Linked DNA regions of Oryzias latipes. The protein of the gene in region 1 interacts with the protein of each later gene in a pairwise test. Links are inferred from orthologs where the notes say so. Each region holds a gene or a part of one and is shown in the gene's direction. Other genes may lie near its edges. The genes, in order: wwp1, cpsf6, mothers against decapentaplegic homolog 3 and arrdc1.

The links.
Region 2: the proteins of wwp1 (region 1) and cpsf6 interact in binary tests that used the Homo sapiens proteins (3 or more experiments, as listed by UniProt). The link is inferred for Oryzias latipes from reciprocal best matches to the Homo sapiens genes WWP1 and CPSF6.
Region 3: the proteins of wwp1 (region 1) and mothers against decapentaplegic homolog 3 interact in binary tests that used the Homo sapiens proteins (3 or more experiments, as listed by UniProt). The two-hybrid records come from large-scale screens. The link is inferred for Oryzias latipes from reciprocal best matches to the Homo sapiens genes WWP1 and SMAD3.
Region 4: the proteins of wwp1 (region 1) and arrdc1 interact in binary tests that used the Homo sapiens proteins (3 or more experiments, as listed by UniProt). The link is inferred for Oryzias latipes from reciprocal best matches to the Homo sapiens genes WWP1 and ARRDC1.

Annotation. Positions count from the first base shown.
Region 1 is NC_019878.2:10,288,320-10,292,654, reverse strand, and holds part of wwp1 (NEDD4-like E3 ubiquitin-protein ligase WWP1), read left to right. Parts: intron 1-2,336; coding exon 2,337-2,518; intron 2,519-3,355; coding exon 3,356-3,770; intron 3,771-4,335. UniProt on the Homo sapiens protein: E3 ubiquitin-protein ligase which accepts ubiquitin from an E2 ubiquitin-conjugating enzyme in the form of a thioester and then directly transfers the ubiquitin to targeted substrates.
Region 2 is NC_019881.2:14,391,895-14,396,927, reverse strand, and holds the start of cpsf6 (cleavage and polyadenylation specificity factor subunit 6), read left to right. Parts: upstream 1-2,016; 5' UTR 2,017-2,067; coding exon 2,068-2,127; intron 2,128-4,886; coding exon 4,887-5,033. UniProt on the Homo sapiens protein: Component of the cleavage factor Im (CFIm) complex that functions as an activator of the pre-mRNA 3'-end cleavage and polyadenylation processing required for the maturation of pre-mRNA into functional mRNAs.
Region 3 is NC_019861.2:12,626,242-12,629,287, reverse strand, and holds part of mothers against decapentaplegic homolog 3, read left to right. Parts: coding exon 1-54; intron 55-2,342; coding exon 2,343-2,466; 3' UTR 2,467-3,046. UniProt on the Homo sapiens protein: Receptor-regulated SMAD (R-SMAD) that is an intracellular signal transducer and transcriptional modulator activated by TGF-beta (transforming growth factor) and activin type 1 receptor kinases.
Region 4 is NC_019870.2:26,761,708-26,766,637, reverse strand, and holds the start of arrdc1 (arrestin domain-containing protein 1), read left to right. Parts: upstream 1-1,516; 5' UTR 1,517-2,052; coding exon 2,053-2,170; intron 2,171-4,930. UniProt on the Homo sapiens protein: Functions as an adapter recruiting ubiquitin-protein ligases to their specific substrates. Through an ubiquitination-dependent mechanism plays for instance a role in the incorporation of SLC11A2 into extracellular vesicles.

The DNA of each region.
Region 1 (4,335 bases):
TTTAGAGCTGCACGGTGGCACTATTGCCTCACAGCAAGAACGCCCCCAGTTCACGTCCCAGCTGGGGGACCTGAAACAGAACATCAATGGGGGACCCCCCTGTGTGGAGTTTCTATGTTCTCCCCGTGCATGCGGGGGTTTTTCTCCGGGGGCTCCAGCTTCCTCCCACCGTCCAAAAACAGGTGGAACCTAGGAATTACAGTAATTTCCGGATTATAAACTGCTACTCTTGTTCAACGCTTTTTTATGCATTTAAAAAAAAAAAATTAATGCATTTTTTCTAAACGGCCGCCAGTTGCACTCGAGGAGAAAAGGTAAGAGTGAGACAGGTGCAATACGGTATATGTGTCGAGGAAGACGGAAGTTTAGTGTAACTTCCCGCTTTGTGAATGAATAGCATGAATATCATGGAAAATGCAAGAAGAAATGCTGATTCTTCTTCTGTTACATAAGTTTAACAGGGAAGAACCTTTTTTTTAAAGTGCTGTCATCACACCAATTACTTAAACAGAACGTTAAGAGGAATTGTAGGTTATTATTTTAAACTTTCCCTTAAAAAGTAAAAAGAACAAGTGCTCCATTTTTAAATGTCCAAGATGAAGTAATCTCTTTTTCTTCTTTTAAATCTAATTATCCATCCAGCAGTTCTTGTGTAACAGTAAAAGCATCAGTTCTGTCCAGTAATGCATTAACCAATCCCGTCTGTTTAACAGAAATACATGACATAATCCTTTTTTATAAAACATATTTTACATTTGTGAAAGCAAGTGTGATTCGAAAGGACTAGTCTGTCTTTTTTTTAACTGAGCTGAAACCTGATTTATTCTTTAGTCTGTGTGTTATGATGTTTCTTAATATGTCAAAGACTTTGTTTTTTTGTACAACATGTAAGTTACAAGTATTGTGCTGATTGATTGATGTGAGCGAAACAGGAAGTCAGAGAAGGAAACAATGTGGGTGGTGTGGTGCAGTTAAACAAAAACATTTATGGTGCTGATCACAACTATCCAGCTTGTTTCATTTTGTAAATACATTTTCTCCAAACTTGATTCAAGTCATTTCCTTCTCTCAAGGTCAGCAGGACCCCTAGATTAGCAGTGCTGCTTGGCATTAACCTGCTTAGACATTGCTTAGAGCGTTTTAATGCCATTATACAAAGTTTCCTACTCCCTATTGTGTTATAAAGTCTCTGGAGGAATGTGCCAAAGCTCTTTCTCGCTGTAGAGTGGAAACTACCCATTAAAAGAAACGGGAAAATATCCATCCATCTTCAGAACCTGTAGAATCCCTTTTGGGGGTCACAGTGTTGCTGGAGCCTATCCCAGCTACTGTTGGGCAGAGGCAGGGTACACCCTTAACAGGTTGTCAGTCTCTAGCAGGGCCACACAACCACACTCACATCTAGGGACAATTTAGAATCATTATTTACCTATGAAGCATGTTTTTGGACTGTGGGAAGAAGTCAACACGTGCACAGGCAAACATGCAAATTCCACACAGAAAGGACCCAGCAGGGATTCAAACCACACCAGGATCTTCTCGCTGTGAGGCGAAGATGGGAACACTCCATAAAAAGCATCTGAAGACCAGCTTTCTGATGTGTTTGGTTTTAAGCAAACTTGCAGAGATTAGGATATTTGTTTTGTTGTGTGCTGCCAACAAGGATTCGAAGTCCCACTCTGATCATATTTGGATCTATTTGCTGGTTTTAGTCAAAAAACTTGTCGTTTTCTGCAGAGTTTGAGAAATTCATTACTGATTTGTAGATGGGAAAATTGGCGCAAGGTTGAGACTGCTTTTATTTCCCATCATCCCTTTGTTTGCAGTCTTTCCTGCTAGTTTACAGTCCCTCACAACCCCAACCTGTCGTTAGCGGTGCAACAAAAATGGCGAGTAAAGTTGGGGCTAACCAGCCGTACAGTTTTGAGCCAGAAGACTCTGCTTTAAATAAGTACAGCAGCCTTTATATTTAGGCTTTGGTGCTGAATTTAGAAATGTTTTTTATTGAACTGCTTAAATTGTTCATGTCTTGAAAAATAATATTGCTTTAAAGCTTATTGCAAATTATTATAATTTTTAGTTTGCAAAAAGCTAAAGATTTGGTTGTTTAACTGATTGATCGTTGATTCCCTGCTGTAGGTCTTGGCTTAGCTGAGCTTTAGTTCTATGGCTGGTTTTGGTTTGGTCGTTCTGCAGGTTTGTCTCTGACATTACCTGAAAAGCTACAGCTCACAAAGAAAGCCTTTCAGTTGTGCTCATTACGCCGCTGATATCTCGTTTCGTCATTGCATTTCATTTACAATCTCCTTCTTGTCTTCTCTTTCTTCTCCCTCAAGCACAATGAATGGTTCAGATTTGGACCCGAGGTCAGGTTCCTGTTCAGCCTCCAGTGGCGCTGAAGGTCAGGTGCCTTCCAGCTCCTGTAGCCCAGCTCGGGATCATGCGGTCAACGGAGAGACAACCCTAAACTCCACTCCAGTCCACCAGCCATTCGACGGCGAGACACAAAATAGAATAGGTGAGTTTGTCTTCTATGTTCTCAATTCTAAAGTCTGTTGATCTTTTCTCTGAAAAGAATTCCTAAAAATGTCATTTTGTTCACATTTATGCTCCCTAAACAAATCTTTATTGTGTTCAAGTTTGAAATGACAAAAAGAGTAGTTTTAGGTAGGGATGTCCCGATCCGATCACGTGATCAGAAACTGATCCCAATCACGTAGTTTCAGACTCGATTGAAATCAGATGATTGTTTTGGTAAACACACTTTTTAACGAGAATGGCTCTCTGTGCTGCAGATAAAGAGACAGCTGTCAAGGGGTCTACAAAGTGCAAACTCTGGGGAAAAGTGATTTGAAAAAAATAAAACAAACAAAACAAAAAATCTCTGCATTGGTGACTGCTAGTAATGTGCGGTTAACCGCGACACCGCGCCCCCTGCTGGTTCATCAAAAATCCCACACCATCACAGCTCTACTTGACAATGTTCTTTTTTTTAAATTAACTATGAAAATAACAGTTTACACTGATAGTTCTCAAAGTCCAAGTTTTATTTTTAATCCTCAGAAAAGTTGTTATATCTGAAGTACGTCAATCATGGTGGCATTACACCAACATATCCAGCTATTGGACAATACAATACTTTCTATTTTTAAGATAAAAAGTTTATTGTTCTGAATGTTGATTTTGTTTTCATTCTCTTCTTATTAAGCAGCCATTGAGGCTGAGAAGAATATTTTACCACAGACTTCTTCATTTTTCCTAAGTGTACATGTGATGCAACAGTTGCACATGTTTTTGATGTCAAAAAGTCAGATGATGCGAACAAATAAAAACCGTCATTGTCCTGTGTTTGCAGTAAATGGGGAGTCCAGCGAGGCTGCTGCCAGGCAAACGTCCTCAGCAAGAACGGATGTGCCCCCCACAGGCGGCCACGAGGACGGCGCTGGAGAGGCCGACTCTCCTGCCGCCCCGAACAGCACGTCGCCGCCTCGGACAACTTCCGCGTCTCCTGTAGCCTCCTCTGCCGGTGCTAAACCTGCAGACACCACCGCCGCTGCTTCCACCACATTGGCCTATGCAACCCAAGGGACCAGCACCGCCACAACACCCTCCTGTTCGTCCTCTTCCTCCCCGCCCACGGCAGAAGTAAATGCTTCCGGAGACGGGGGCGGCGGCGGCAGCAGCAGCGGCAATGCAACGACAACCTCAGACGGGGTCAAGCCCAGGCAGCCGCTCTCTAATGCTGCATCATCTGATCCTCTACCACCAGGGTAAGAAAAAAACTTGATTAAAAGCTAGAACCGCCTGATAACACACGGTTTGATCCTGTGATGTTTATTCAGGTGTTGTCAGCATCTTTAAGCTCTATTGAGAACATGCAGTGGTACAGATTTTGTTCAAGCACTTCACATACACTGAAATGATAGCTATTACTGCAGTAAACTTAAAAGCCCTCTTTTCAAATGTTACATGGCAAATTCTAATTTGTAGGGTTAAACCACCTCATTTTCTCTATGTTTTCTATTTCGGCAGTCAAATCCAACTTCTGTAACATAAACATCAATAACATTTGCTATTGTTTCTCTGGGGGGTTTTCGTGTACGGTACTTTATTGACGGTCCCTGCCTGCCTCTGCAGCTTCACATCAAGGCAAACTCCGGCTCTGCATCACCACAGACAAAAAAATAAACTGTTCATAATGGTCAATAGAACTACATCCAGCGTTTTACTCTGTAATGTTTGTGGATAAAGTCAGAAGAACAGAACAGACTGGAGATACCGTGACGAGCACATAAACAAAACCGATCATATCTATGAACTTGACACATTGTGGCT
Region 2 (5,033 bases), on another chromosome or scaffold:
CGTCTCCATCTTCCTCTGATCTGAAGATCACAGGCAAGGCCTAGAGCGCATTTGCAAATATGCACTTCAGCCTTCAAGATCCACATTACTGCATCTGTTTTTGTTATATGTTGCATTTGAAAAAATAGTTAGCGTGAAGAGAAACTTGAGTTGGTAAATTGTATCACAGGGCATTTTTTAAAGGGGTTTGATGAATCAACCAAAGCAGACTAGATGAAGGCCCAGTCAGAAATGTCTTATATGAGTGGTATCAGAAATATTTAAGTTAAAAGTTGGAAGGGTCATACTTTTATCCCTAATTTTTACATGTTTTAAGACTAATTACATTTTACCTGCCACAATTTTAAAACGTTTTTCTGCCTTTTTTTGTCTTGTGCACTTTCACCATGTAATTAAATTGTTCTTGAAGTTAAAGCAAAAAAAAGTTTTTCTTTTGCATAACATTTTGCCTCAGGTTTTTTTTTAAGTATCTGTAATGCTCTGCTGAAAAAAATAAGTAAACAACTTTAAAAGAAAAAAGAATCACAATGGTATCTATCTAATGATAATAACATTTGTTAATGTTGATTTATTTACCAATAAATTACAATGTATTTTTATATTGATTTAACTGAACGCTTCTTTTTTTCAAACTTCTTTTTTTCTTCCATTTTTGCATGTTAAAAAGATTTACTTCTAATATATTTGTTACCTTTTTTATATTCTTTTTAACTAAAACATTTAAAATGGTCTGACTGAAATTATTATTTTTGTTGTTGTTGTCTTTGGTTGTGTTATTGACAGAGGTAAAATCTAATATATATGAAATGTTTATGATTTTTTTTAGGAGGAGCTAAAACTTGGAATGTGATTTTGTTCTTTTGTTCTGTTTTTTTCCTTTGTAAAACAAACCTGTAAATTGTTCTTATGAAAGTATTACATGGATTAAAGCCATTATTTATAAAATAAAAGATCCACAAAGTTGTTTTTATTACATTTACTTTGACTGTGTGTCATTTCTGTTTGTCTCCTTTTATTCACCTATTATTTATAAACTTATAGTTTCATATAAATGAGCAGTAAATTTATAAAGATATAGTATGATAGCAGTGGTTGTTTCAACAAATTGGATTGTGAATGACAGATGATTTCAAAAAATAAAACTTTATTTTCCAATAAAGTTTTACAAAATTACTTTTTAAGGTAAAATCCTATGTGTTATAGTTATTATTGTATCCTTTACATCAGAGTAAGTATTCAAATGTTGATCAAAAGCCAGATTTAAATTTATTTATATGACATTATTGATAAAATGTCTAATATAGTGTAAAATGTGAGTCTACAAATAATACACCAAAATAGAATGTTTTGTGTCTTGTCAATGTACTTAAAATATTCATTCATTCATTAATTCATTTTCTTAACCGTTTATTCCCTTTCGGGGTCACGGGGCTGCTGGAGCCTATCCCAGCCACTTGGGCGTCTTAAAATATTTATATTTTTAATTTGAAAAAAATATTATAGTATAATTACAGCAATACCTAATACACAGGAAACTATATAGTTGGAGATCATGTTTCACTCTTCTCTTTACACATAACTTTGCTTTTTATTTTCACTTTTAACTTTGTTGTCAAGAATTGTTACAATTTTTATTAAAAGACCATTTCTTCCAGCGATTTGTGTCAAATTTGCTGAAATTTTCAATCAACAAAACAGTAATGGCAGGTGCACAGCTGTACGTAGAAAAAAGCGTGATCTATTCTATCTATTTGAGTTCTTTTAGAAATTGCATTTCCATTGTTGTGAAAATCATTTATTAATAAATAAATAGATATTGAATTCCTCTTTTAAATGCGTAATTACAAAATACATAACAGAATAATTTATATTTTTTATAGATGTCGTATTCAGTAGTATGAATGTTTAAAGTGAAATGCAGATGATCAATGAATCCGTCATTCCCAGCAGAGCAGGCTGTAGTTAGTGAATACGACCAGCAGGGGCGCTGATGCATCTCCCGGAGTTATTGTTTGTAGCTCCGATCCTCTGCACCGCCAGGCGGACGGAGGCACGAAGCAGAGGAAAATGGCGGACGGTGTGGATCATATCGACATCTACGCCGACGTAGAAGAGGAATTTAATCAGGTATTAAAATAAAATATTCTCGAGTTTGTTCAGTGCTTTGAAGTTCTTTTTCTAATTTTTGCAATGGTCTTTTCGGCGTTATAGGAAAAATAGGTGTAATTTGATGCTCGTGCTAGCTTCTCCACTAGCAATACACACACAGGCCTCTGTCAGTCAGTGTGCTGCGTTGGTTGCAGCATAGATAGCAAACTTCTGTACAATAGATCTGCATTTTTTATTCAAACAGTAGTACACATGTGGAGGTAAATGTGATGTGGGTTATTATTTAGAATATGTACATTTTTGTCCATCAGCAAAGCGTCTAGCAGCCTTTTCAGTGGAGCGCGCGTATAGGCCGCGCAGTGTGTGCTTTCTTTTTTTTTTTTTCTCCCGACGGAGGCTGTTAACCAAACACGCATTTCATGATAAGCTAGCTGGTGTTGGTTAACTTCACACGTTTAATTGGTTTACTGTATTGGACGTGGGTTATAGTTTGGATCAAATGTAACTTGGTGTACTTTTAAAAACGTCAAAAATAAAAACAAAAGGGGAAAACACGAGTTACACGGCTTCCATTCTGGCAGCAGGTTGGGTCATCATGCATGGTGGGTGTTTTTTTTTATTCTTGCGCGCGCGCACATTAAAAACCGCGCCCCCCTTTTTAGACCGCATACTAAAATCATAACTTACTGACATTTGTTTTGCACAGAATTTGTTATGGTATTATACTGTCGGAGCTAAACATTTAAAAATAAATGTTTTTTTTCCTTGTTTCTTATTAAAATTGTTTAGCTAAACTTAATTAAGAGCCAGTGACTTAAAAATTATTAGTCATGTTTTAGTTTTTTTTAACATTTCTTTAAGTTTACTACTCTTTTTTTCCTCATAAAGCGTGACATAAAATAAAGAGAAAAAAATGCTTTTGGAATTTAATTAATTTAAATCAATTTATTATAGTAATTTGCTTTTTCTAGTAACCATTTTTACTTTTAAATTCTGGTGTAATTTCTTTTATTTCAGCTTCTTCTTGTTGACTAACTCTCTAGCACTATTTGGTCTCCATGTTTTATTATAGCTGCAGCAATTTCCAGTAAAACAGGGAGCTAAGTAAGCGTCTGGTGATATGCAGTAAACTTCTATAGATTAGGGGTCAACAGCATTTGTGACATAAAGTGCCATTTTGAAATTTAGAATGTAAAAAAGTTCAATATGTCTAGAAATGTATTTAATTCCCAACAGCAGGCATTTTGGCATTACCTCAAAGACGTTCTTTCATAACAATATTGCACAAGGAAAATAGGCCAAACTTAAAAAGTGAACTTAAATAACTTAAAACTATGTTAGTTTGAAACAAAAAGTACAGCATTTGTGGTACATCATACTGTATACGTCATGTAAATTAAATCTATCATGGTGTTTTTATTGCATGTAAAAGTAAATGTTTTACTTTGACCTTAGAATGCTAATTATAGTAATATAAATTTTCCACAATTGGACATTCTTCATTTTTTTTCACCCCCAGTAAATGGAGTGGCGATCAGCTGTACTATTCATTTTAAAACTTTTTCTCATTTCACATTTACATTTGTCAGAACATAAAAAAGTCAGGGTATAATCTGACCTTATTTGGTATTATCAACAAACTGAGCTTATAACTTCATAAATGGCAGTCGCTGTGACATCCTAAATATAATTAAAAAACCGGCTGTGCATTCATTAACCTTTAGCGCGTTTCCCGCTTATGCATGCGCTCATCGTATTGCCCCACCTGTCATCTCACCGCCAACAGCTTCAAAACACAGGGTCATTACGTCACCGTGGCAAACTTGTTTTTTTTGCCTGCAGTGCACAATCATTTAAATCACCCGTTCATAAAGGCAGAAAGTAACGTACATTGTGTGAAACTAGGCCTGCACAATATATCGCAAATTTATCGTTATCGCGACATTAAGCTGTGCAATATGCATACCACAAAAGACGGCGAAAATCGCAATAAATGGTTACCTTAAATGTGCTAAAACAATCTCGTGGCAGCTTGAAATATTGAACAAATGAAATAAATCCCTTTATGCATTTAACCAATCGGAAGGACCCATTTACGTTGTTGATCAATCAGATGAGCCCTTTTATGTTTGATGTTTGCCTCCTATGTCGACAAGGGTCATTTGGAGTATAATTTTTAAACTGTTGCAGTGAAATGGAAATTATGTTTTTGGTTGTTTTGCTGTTTGTTTATATACCGCGAATCATATCGTTATCGCAATATTAATCACCAATATCGCATATCGCGAGTTTTCCTCATATCGTGCAGCCCTATGTGAAACTATAAAAGTGGTTGGGGTCACAGTAACAGCGCTGCTTGAATGGACCATTTCCTTTTGGCCCCATAGGGGTGACAAAAGCTCATTGTGAGAAGAGATTGTCACTGTTTTTAATCCCGAAAGATGCAAAGAGGCGACAGATCCAAGTGGTTAATGTTGTCACAGCCACTGTCTTTCCCTCTGCGTCCCAGTTGTGGCAAACTGCCAATTCGATAAGCAACTTACCTTAGATTAGACAGATACATCTGTTTCAATCGTAAGAAAATAAATCGATTCGTTGATTAATCGTTACACCCCTGTACATTACTAAAAATAATATCCATCCATAATATCTTTCACTTAAAAGATGCATTTCTACATCCCCAGTTTTTATAAACGTTGAGCCACAGTTTCAGGTTCTTGTGGAATTGAACCCCACATGTTTTGCTTTAACTGTGTTAACTCATTTTTCTTTTAAAGGAATCGGAGTATCCAGTTCACGAGCAGATTGACTTGTACGATGATGTGATATCCCCATCTGCCAATAATGGAGATGCTCCAGAAGACAGGGACTACATGGATTCAATGCCTCCATCTGGCGGTTCTGACGGAGGGAAGAGTAATCCA
Region 3 (3,046 bases), on another chromosome or scaffold:
CAGGATGTGCACGATCCGCATGAGCTTCGTCAAGGGCTGGGGAGCCGAATACAGGTGGGATGCAGGACAGCCGTTCACCTTTTTGCAATTTCAGCATTAAACGGTGCTGATGAGCAAAGACGAGGCCCTTGAGAGAACAGTTGAGTAAACACAGACAAGATACTGCCGCCCTCGCTCACGGGCACCTTCTCACACTCTGGTGAATCCAGCGGCTGACGTCAGGGAAGTCTCCTCAGTAGACAAGCCGCGCTTGTCGAAACAGACTATTTTTAAACACACATGCTTTGTGTCAAAAAGATGTCAGACTTTCCCTCTTCTGGCGCTCTGTTTTCCACACAGTCTGACTCTTCGCACCGTCTGACTCACTGATAGTACGAGAGGAGGAAATGTAATTAAAGAGAAGCGAAGGATCGGCCCGAAAGTTGGGCCTGTGAGAGATTTCCACAAGGGAGAGTTTTGTGCTGCAAGCGGCTGCTCTTCATTCCTGTCCAGACCAGACGCTGACATGTGGAGACACTTAAAAAACAGGATTCAGGTTACGTGATCAGACAGGCCTCTTTCCACTCCACCTCCACCTACCTTTCTCTGTTTTCACTACAGATCTGCTTTAACTCCTTTGTCCCTCCACGTTTTTGTCATTCAGTTTAAAAACTGCTTCACATGAATGAATACTTTAAAGGAGCCGACATTGGGAAGCATTTGTGTTGTATCCGGTGAGCTGCTGTCCAGTTGATTCCAAAACTTCTGCATCCTTTAGCTTGATGAGACTTTTAACACAGAGCCAGCAGTTTAATCCCTTTGTTCAAATTTTTTTTATTTCTGCCTTAAAAATGTGAAACATCTGGATCCAAACCCTGAATCATCAAAGTTCAATCCCACTGTTCTCGTTATCAGCTCCAGTCTGTCCTGTCCATTCTGAGGTCAGAGAGAACAAAAGAATCGTAAAGATTCAAGAAGGAGAAAGTTTAGAAAAAGAAGCATATCAAATATAAACAGCTATACAGCAAAAAATGTAAAAGACATGAAGATCAGTCCACTTTGAATGTAGCACATTTGACAAAAGACGCTTCAAGATCAAGCTTCAAATCGTATTTTTTGTCTTTCTGCCTTATTGGTCAAAGTACGGCCTCATTTAAAGTCCCACTCCAATCCTCTTTGATCTATTGTAAAAGTATCCCCACTGCTCTTTTAATGAGGATTTTCAGTCAAAAAAAACAAATAAAACATTAGTTCATTAGAAATTTACCTCTGAATTGAGGGCAACCCCATTGGTGCAAAGTAAGCCCGCCCCTATTTCCCGTCATCCATCTGATTACACTTTCTCCCACTAGCTTACAGCCCCAACCGAACATTGCAGATGCAACAAAAACGGGGAGCAATGTTGGAGCAGATAACAGTTCAGACGAGGAAAACAAAGACGTTCATGGATCTATTTGTCTGCAAGTGGATACATCAGAATGGAGCAGAGCAGGGAGCTTGTTGCCCACTAATTATAGCTTGTATGTCACCTCTACAGGCTTTCGCCAACTGTATTTCTGCTCCTAATTCGCCATGATTACAAACACAACACAATTTACATCAGAGTGGGTCTGCCAATAGGTCATTTTGGAACGAAAGTTCTCAGAAATTGCTAAACGTTCTGTTCTTGAACTCTTGTTTAAGTAACCCTGACAGAGGCTGCAGACGCGCTTTGACGTGGAGAAAGAAAATCAACAGTCACGGGTTACAAATCCAGCTGATGTGTGTGGAGGGCTGGCCTACTGGTCACTGACATGAACCCTTGGCTGGTTGGTCATTGGTTCAAGTCCCAATTCTGACTTGAAAAAGTCATAGTAAAGTAAAAAAGCCTTTGCTCCACTGCTGTAATGCCCTTGAGCAAGGCTCTTAAGAGGAGCTGTTCCGTGAACAGAGGTTGACCCGGGTATCTCCCAGGTGAAAAGAGTTCCGTCTCAATGGGTGTCTCTTATATAAATAAAGGGATAAAAAACAGCTTCAGACAGTGACTCTAGTTTTAAGTGTTCTATGAATGTGAAAAACATCTTATCTTGTTTCCATGATCAGATTCAGTGCCAGACAGAACAAAACCTTGCCGTCTTGTTAAAGCAGTTTTATGACGCTGTGCAATAATAATTGCCATAATTCACAGAAAAGTCGAAGCCTCGTCTTACTAAACAGCAGGAAGTTCAGCTGCAGCTCAGAATAGATCCAGTTTGATTGCATATGCCAAATATCAGGGCTAAAATCGATCAGGTGTTTGTTTTTCCAGGACTTGATGTGTTTACTTACAGGCAGAGCGGCTGGTTCTGCATCCTCACCATCTGTTGTCTGTGTGTGCGTCCCAGGCGGCAGACAGTGACCAGCACCCCCTGCTGGATCGAGCTCCACCTGAACGGCCCTCTGCAGTGGCTCGACAAGGTGCTGACACAGATGGGCTCCCCAAGCATCCACTGCTCCAGTGTCTCCTAGGGGGAGCTTCCCTGCCCCCCCCCCCCCCCCCCCCTTTCACGAAACTGAAAACACAGATAGGAAGAGCAGCCCGAGAACTACATGATGACACGCCTCTCATCCAGCCACTGTTTGTCCCTCCTCGCTGCCAGTAGCACTTTTTTTATTTTCTAGTTGCAAAAAGGGGACACGTGCATTAATGCAGTATCAGTTTAGGAGGATCTCAGCATATTGGTCTTTTTTCTTTTTTCTTTTTTTTTTTGAAGGTCATTGTCATTTTTGGCATCTGATAGCCAGAAAGGCAGAATTATTTTTTTATTTCCTGTTTTTTTTTAATGTCTTGTTTATTGTTTATAGCTGTTGGATACATTTTACACTCAATTATCTTTAAAAAACATAGAAAAAATAAATTGTTGACATTTTTATGCGTTGTTGTTCCCTTTAAAACCCATGTAATTATGAACGTTTACTTGACTTTGTTTGTCTTTTTGGGATTTGACTGGTTAGGAAGACTTTAATTTCACTTTTAAATATTGTATAAAAGCGTTCACTGCAAACTTTGATTACATTTGTGATCTAAACAGGACTGAGGGTCACTTTG
Region 4 (4,930 bases), on another chromosome or scaffold:
GGGTCACGGGCCTGCTGGAGCCTATCCCAGCCACTCATGGGCGAAGGCAGGGAACACCCTGGACAGGTCGCCAGTCCATCGCAGGGTGTCTTTGCCCCCCCCCCCCCCCCCCCCCCAAAAAAAAAAAATAAGCAACAACAACAACAAAAATGAAGGGGCTCTTAAGCCCTGATCAGATGTTACCACATGCAAGATTACCATGGATACAGCAGTCTCTTGGCAACAGTCCCGTTTGTCTGTCGTCATGGAAATGCCGGTCCTTTAGTTTAGAGGAAAAAAACAGCTAAAAAAGATAAATCTGATAGGATGGTGGAAAGTAAAAATTAAAAGGAGAAAAGTCTGTTCCTGCGTATTTGGCATCACGTTTAGATTTGGACGTTTTGGATATCGAGAGGAGGAAACAAGCATCTCTGTGCACCTGCAGCTCCAGCTGCTGATGTGAGACGACAAGTACAGTTTCAGCCAGGAAGCACCGCTAAGACAACTTAGCCCTCAGAAACGGAAAGAACATTTGAGTTCCTGCAAACTTTAGAAAGATGAGAAAACTGTTGTTTTTCTGTGGCAAAAAAAGAAAGAATTGTATTAAACATTTACAATAAAAATCCCATTGATTGAAACCTTTACCTTTGATCAGTCTGAGGCCAACGCTGTCCGTGTTTGTGAGGATGAGTCCAACATGAATCCAATTTAAAGGCTCACTCTGAGGAAAACGGTGTTTTTAACATGTTATTGTGGCATTTTTCTGATGATGAGGACATTTATGGTAAGTGGAGTGCCCTCATATACCACTTTCCTACCCTCTCAGAAAGCCAGAAGCACTTAACAGTCACACTCGCCCACACACACACACACACACACACACACACACACACACACACACACACACACACACACACACCCACACACTGCTGCTGAACACTGGCATCAACCTATGACCACCAGCAGCAATGTGAGGTTCAGTGTCTTGCTCAAAGACTCTTCGGCACATGGGTGGGAACCGAACCTGCAGTGTTCCGATCAGAGGTCGACCGCTGTACCTCTGCTCCACAGCCGCTCCAACCATTTAAAGAAAAATAAAATAAAAACTACATTTCTGAGTATTTCTTTATTCAAGGAGGGGAAGGGTAAGAGTGCTATTAAAAAACAACAAATGAGGAACATTTGTTTTTCTCAAAATACTCCAGAGATTATGAAATGTTTTTGGTTATTTCCTATAGTCTTGCCTTGGTATTTTGTTTTATTTTATTAACATTTTATTACTAAATATATAAATATAAAAGTTATTTGCCAACATGATTCTTGAGGTTTTAACTAAAGTAACTTATTTTCTCTTTTTAAAGGATCATATTACAAACATTTTATGAATAAAGTAGCCGGCCTAACACCAAAACTGAACTTTTTTGGTTTAAAATTAACATTTGTAAATTAACATTTGTAAATTAACATTTGTAAATTAACATTTGTAATATGTTTTAGATAAAAGCAGGAGCACCTACTAATGCAGATATATGTTTATTTTATGTTTTGTCTTTTTTCTACATTAAGAAACTCCATCATTTGCATGTCCTGACAGGAACTGAGTTGCTTTTAGCTCCTTCTCAGTTTCATTTAGTTATTTATTTTCAGGTTAAACTTTGATCAAACAGGAAGGCCTGCTGTGGAGTAAGGCGCCTGTAGTGAGGACACACCTGTCTGCATTCAGCGCTTCTACGTCCAACACCTAAAAAGCTGAAAGGTGCAGAACCCACCTTCCCGGCTGACGTCACAATCCAAGACCCATAGAACCAACCAAGTCCCACTCGAGAACGGAGATTAGAGTCGGATGACGTCACAGTATCAAAAAGCACCTGTGGCAGGTATGACCGTGAGGGGATTCCGGTGAAGTTTGTGGGTCTGTTTCTGAGGCAGAATCGACTCATTTGTCCGTTAACGTTTGTCCCTGAGCTCGCGGCTGGGATTCGGAGGAGGTCACGGTGACGTCACAGTCCCCGTGGAGGGCGGAGAGCAGCTCGCGGCAGCAGGTGAGCGCGCGGCAGAGCGGAGAGCAGAGCCATGGGGAAGCTGCAGGAGTTTGACATCTTCTACACCAACAACAAGGTGGTCTACGGTCCGGGGGAGTCCGTCAGCGGGGTCGTGAGGATCCGGACCAGCAGCGCGCTGCATTACAAAGGTACGGGGGAGGGGGGGGGGGGGGGTGCTGGGCTGCGCGCGCTTCCGCTAGCGGCGCCTGTGCATCACTCAGTCGGTGAGGTGAAACTTTTGCCTCGCGACGGTGCAGGGATGGGAGCGCGCGGCTGAAAAGCTGCTGTTGTAAAGTTTCTGCTAAACGAGCGAGCCTGCTGGGACGGGCTGTTCTTTAGCGCGGATGAATCTCCCAAAAATAACAACAAGCGATCAGGTGGTGGTGGTGTGTGTATGTGTGTGTGTGTGTGTGTGTGTGGGGGGGGGGGGGGGTAAGGACACCGGAACTTCTGAATTCTGGGTTCAAGGGGAAACTCGGTTCATGTAGTGTAAAAGAACGAGTCCGTGCGCACTTCCTACAGGCGGAGGGTCTGTCTGTCTGTCTGATAGTTTTTTGTTGGTTTATGATCGGCTCTCCTCTTTGTGCTCTTCTGTGTTGGGCTGCGTGATGCTCTTTAAAATACCAGCTCCACATTGTAACTTTTTGGCATTCAGAGACAAGCCCATATGACCAGCACTCCACCACCATGCCTGACAGATGGGAGGCAGAGATTTCCCCAAAAATTGTTTGAGGACAGAGACGATGTGACTCAAGCTGAACCTGAAGCTCAGTCTGCAGGTGTCTTTTAACCCCCCATCCTAGGAGGTTACCTAACTGCTTTTTACTCAGTTTGATGCATTTGCCTGATTCTGACACAATAATTATTTGAAATCAAAACCCGGAAATATAGAACAGACAGAGTGAGCTTTCTAAGACATCGGATTCCTTTTTAAGATCTTTCTCCCAAACCTGTAGTCATAAGGAGGATAGCAGGTTGGAGGAAACAGAGGGTCCATTGTGTGAGGTGACCCTGGTCAGACTGAGGCGCCCCTCAGTGGCAGGCAGGTACAAAGCCCCTGCCACCAACGGGGACTGCAGGGACGGAAATCCAATGATGGAGCTTTTCTTCATGGCGGAAAGTCCCGAACTGCAGAGGGATCGTCTGTTACGACCTGATCTGAGGCCCACCACTCCGTTCACTGCAGGAGGAGTTGATCTAAAACTGATGCATTTGATGTGCTGTGGCAACATGGAAAAGACCCCCAAAAGAATGATTTACTTCAGTTATAGCAGCTAAAGCTGCTTGATTTGAACAAAAGATTGAAGAGAATCTTACTCAAGCCGCACATGGATACCAAAGATCACTGTTGTCGGCTAATCCAGTGGTCCCTGGGCTGTGGACCAGTACCGGTCCGAGGGACAGTTGGTAAAAGCACAACCTACCCCCCCCCCCCCCTCATTTTATTTATAATCTGATTCTGAAGGAAGTTTTATTTTGGAACACTACTGGGTTCTCTCCACCACATCCAACTCGTTCTTGAGTTGGATGTTCTGGATTTTGACTCGGTCACGTGTACAAAACCCTAAAGCGGCTGCCGCTAAATTGAAACTCCAAGCTAGCAAAATAACCAAAAAACGTATTTGGAAAGTTCCAGTGGGGAAACAGAGGAAGAGCCTTCAACTTCAAAATAAAAATAAATCTGCATTTAAGACAGAAACTAGGAGTCTTTTCTCAGAAAAGGATTTATTGTTATTTTTTTTCAATAATGCAGAATACTCATCAACCAGCTGTTTAATGTTATGGATATCATAGGTCTGATTCGCATATTTGGTTTGGCAAAGACTTTACATCAGATTCTGTTCCTGACACAACCCTCTGTCTTTATCCGGGCTTGGGACCAGCACAATGGGACCCTGGCTTGGGCCCCGTCGTGGCTACATTTCATTTGGAAAAACAAAACCCAAACATTTATTTCAAATAATATTTTAAATAAAGTCCTTATTAACTATCTAAATCCAAGGTTTTACTCCCATCATAGTGTATTCCAATGATTTTTATGCTTTCTGAAAATAAACCTGGTAACTAAACAGGAAGTTTTTTTTAATACTTTTGTGATTTTTTATTTATGCCAACAAATAGAAATATCAATCTGCTGGGATTTGAGAAGACAGAAAATAGACAAACACCAGATGATCTGTGTAAGACAAAACCGCCAAGTCAGTAACTGCAGCAGTGGGAGAACAGAGAGCAGATAAGCATCAAATCGCTGCAACATCTGTTTAAAACAAACTGCAACCATGACCCTGCAGTGGAGCAGACGGAGGAACCAGTTCATCCTCTAATCTAGACCACAATGCACTGTGTTGGAACGATGCGCCATTTGAAAAAAGTGTATGGAAGTACGTTTTTTATTTATCCGTCTCTGCTAAAGGCTCATATTTAGGGTTTTACTTTGGCAAATTGGTGACATTTGAGGGGAAAGGTAATGAGGTTGTGTCTGAACTGCAATAAAATCCAGGGCACTAGATAGTCCCGCACTAGTCTTTTTGGGGTTAGGTAGTGGGGAGGGGGTTCAAACACAGTTAAGAAGACGAGTTAAAGTTCCTCCAGTGTTGTGGGAAAGTGTTGTTGCTTTTTATTGAATTAAAAATTAATTTCTTTTGGTATCAATTCCTTCAAAGAATAAATTCCCCATTATGGCTCACCCTGGTCTGCAGGTGTGAGTTTGGTGGAAAGGTTGGTGTCAATTATCTTCTCAGTTCTGTAAATGCATTGGTGTGTGTTGCTGCTTTTTGTTAATTAAAAGCAACAATGGTTGTGTACGTGCTGAATGAAGCTGAGGCGTGTCTGTAGTTTAGTCGTTTCTTTCGGGTCTCCTCGTGTCTCCTCGTGCTCGGGTCACGCCCACTTCCTGTCAGAGAAGGATT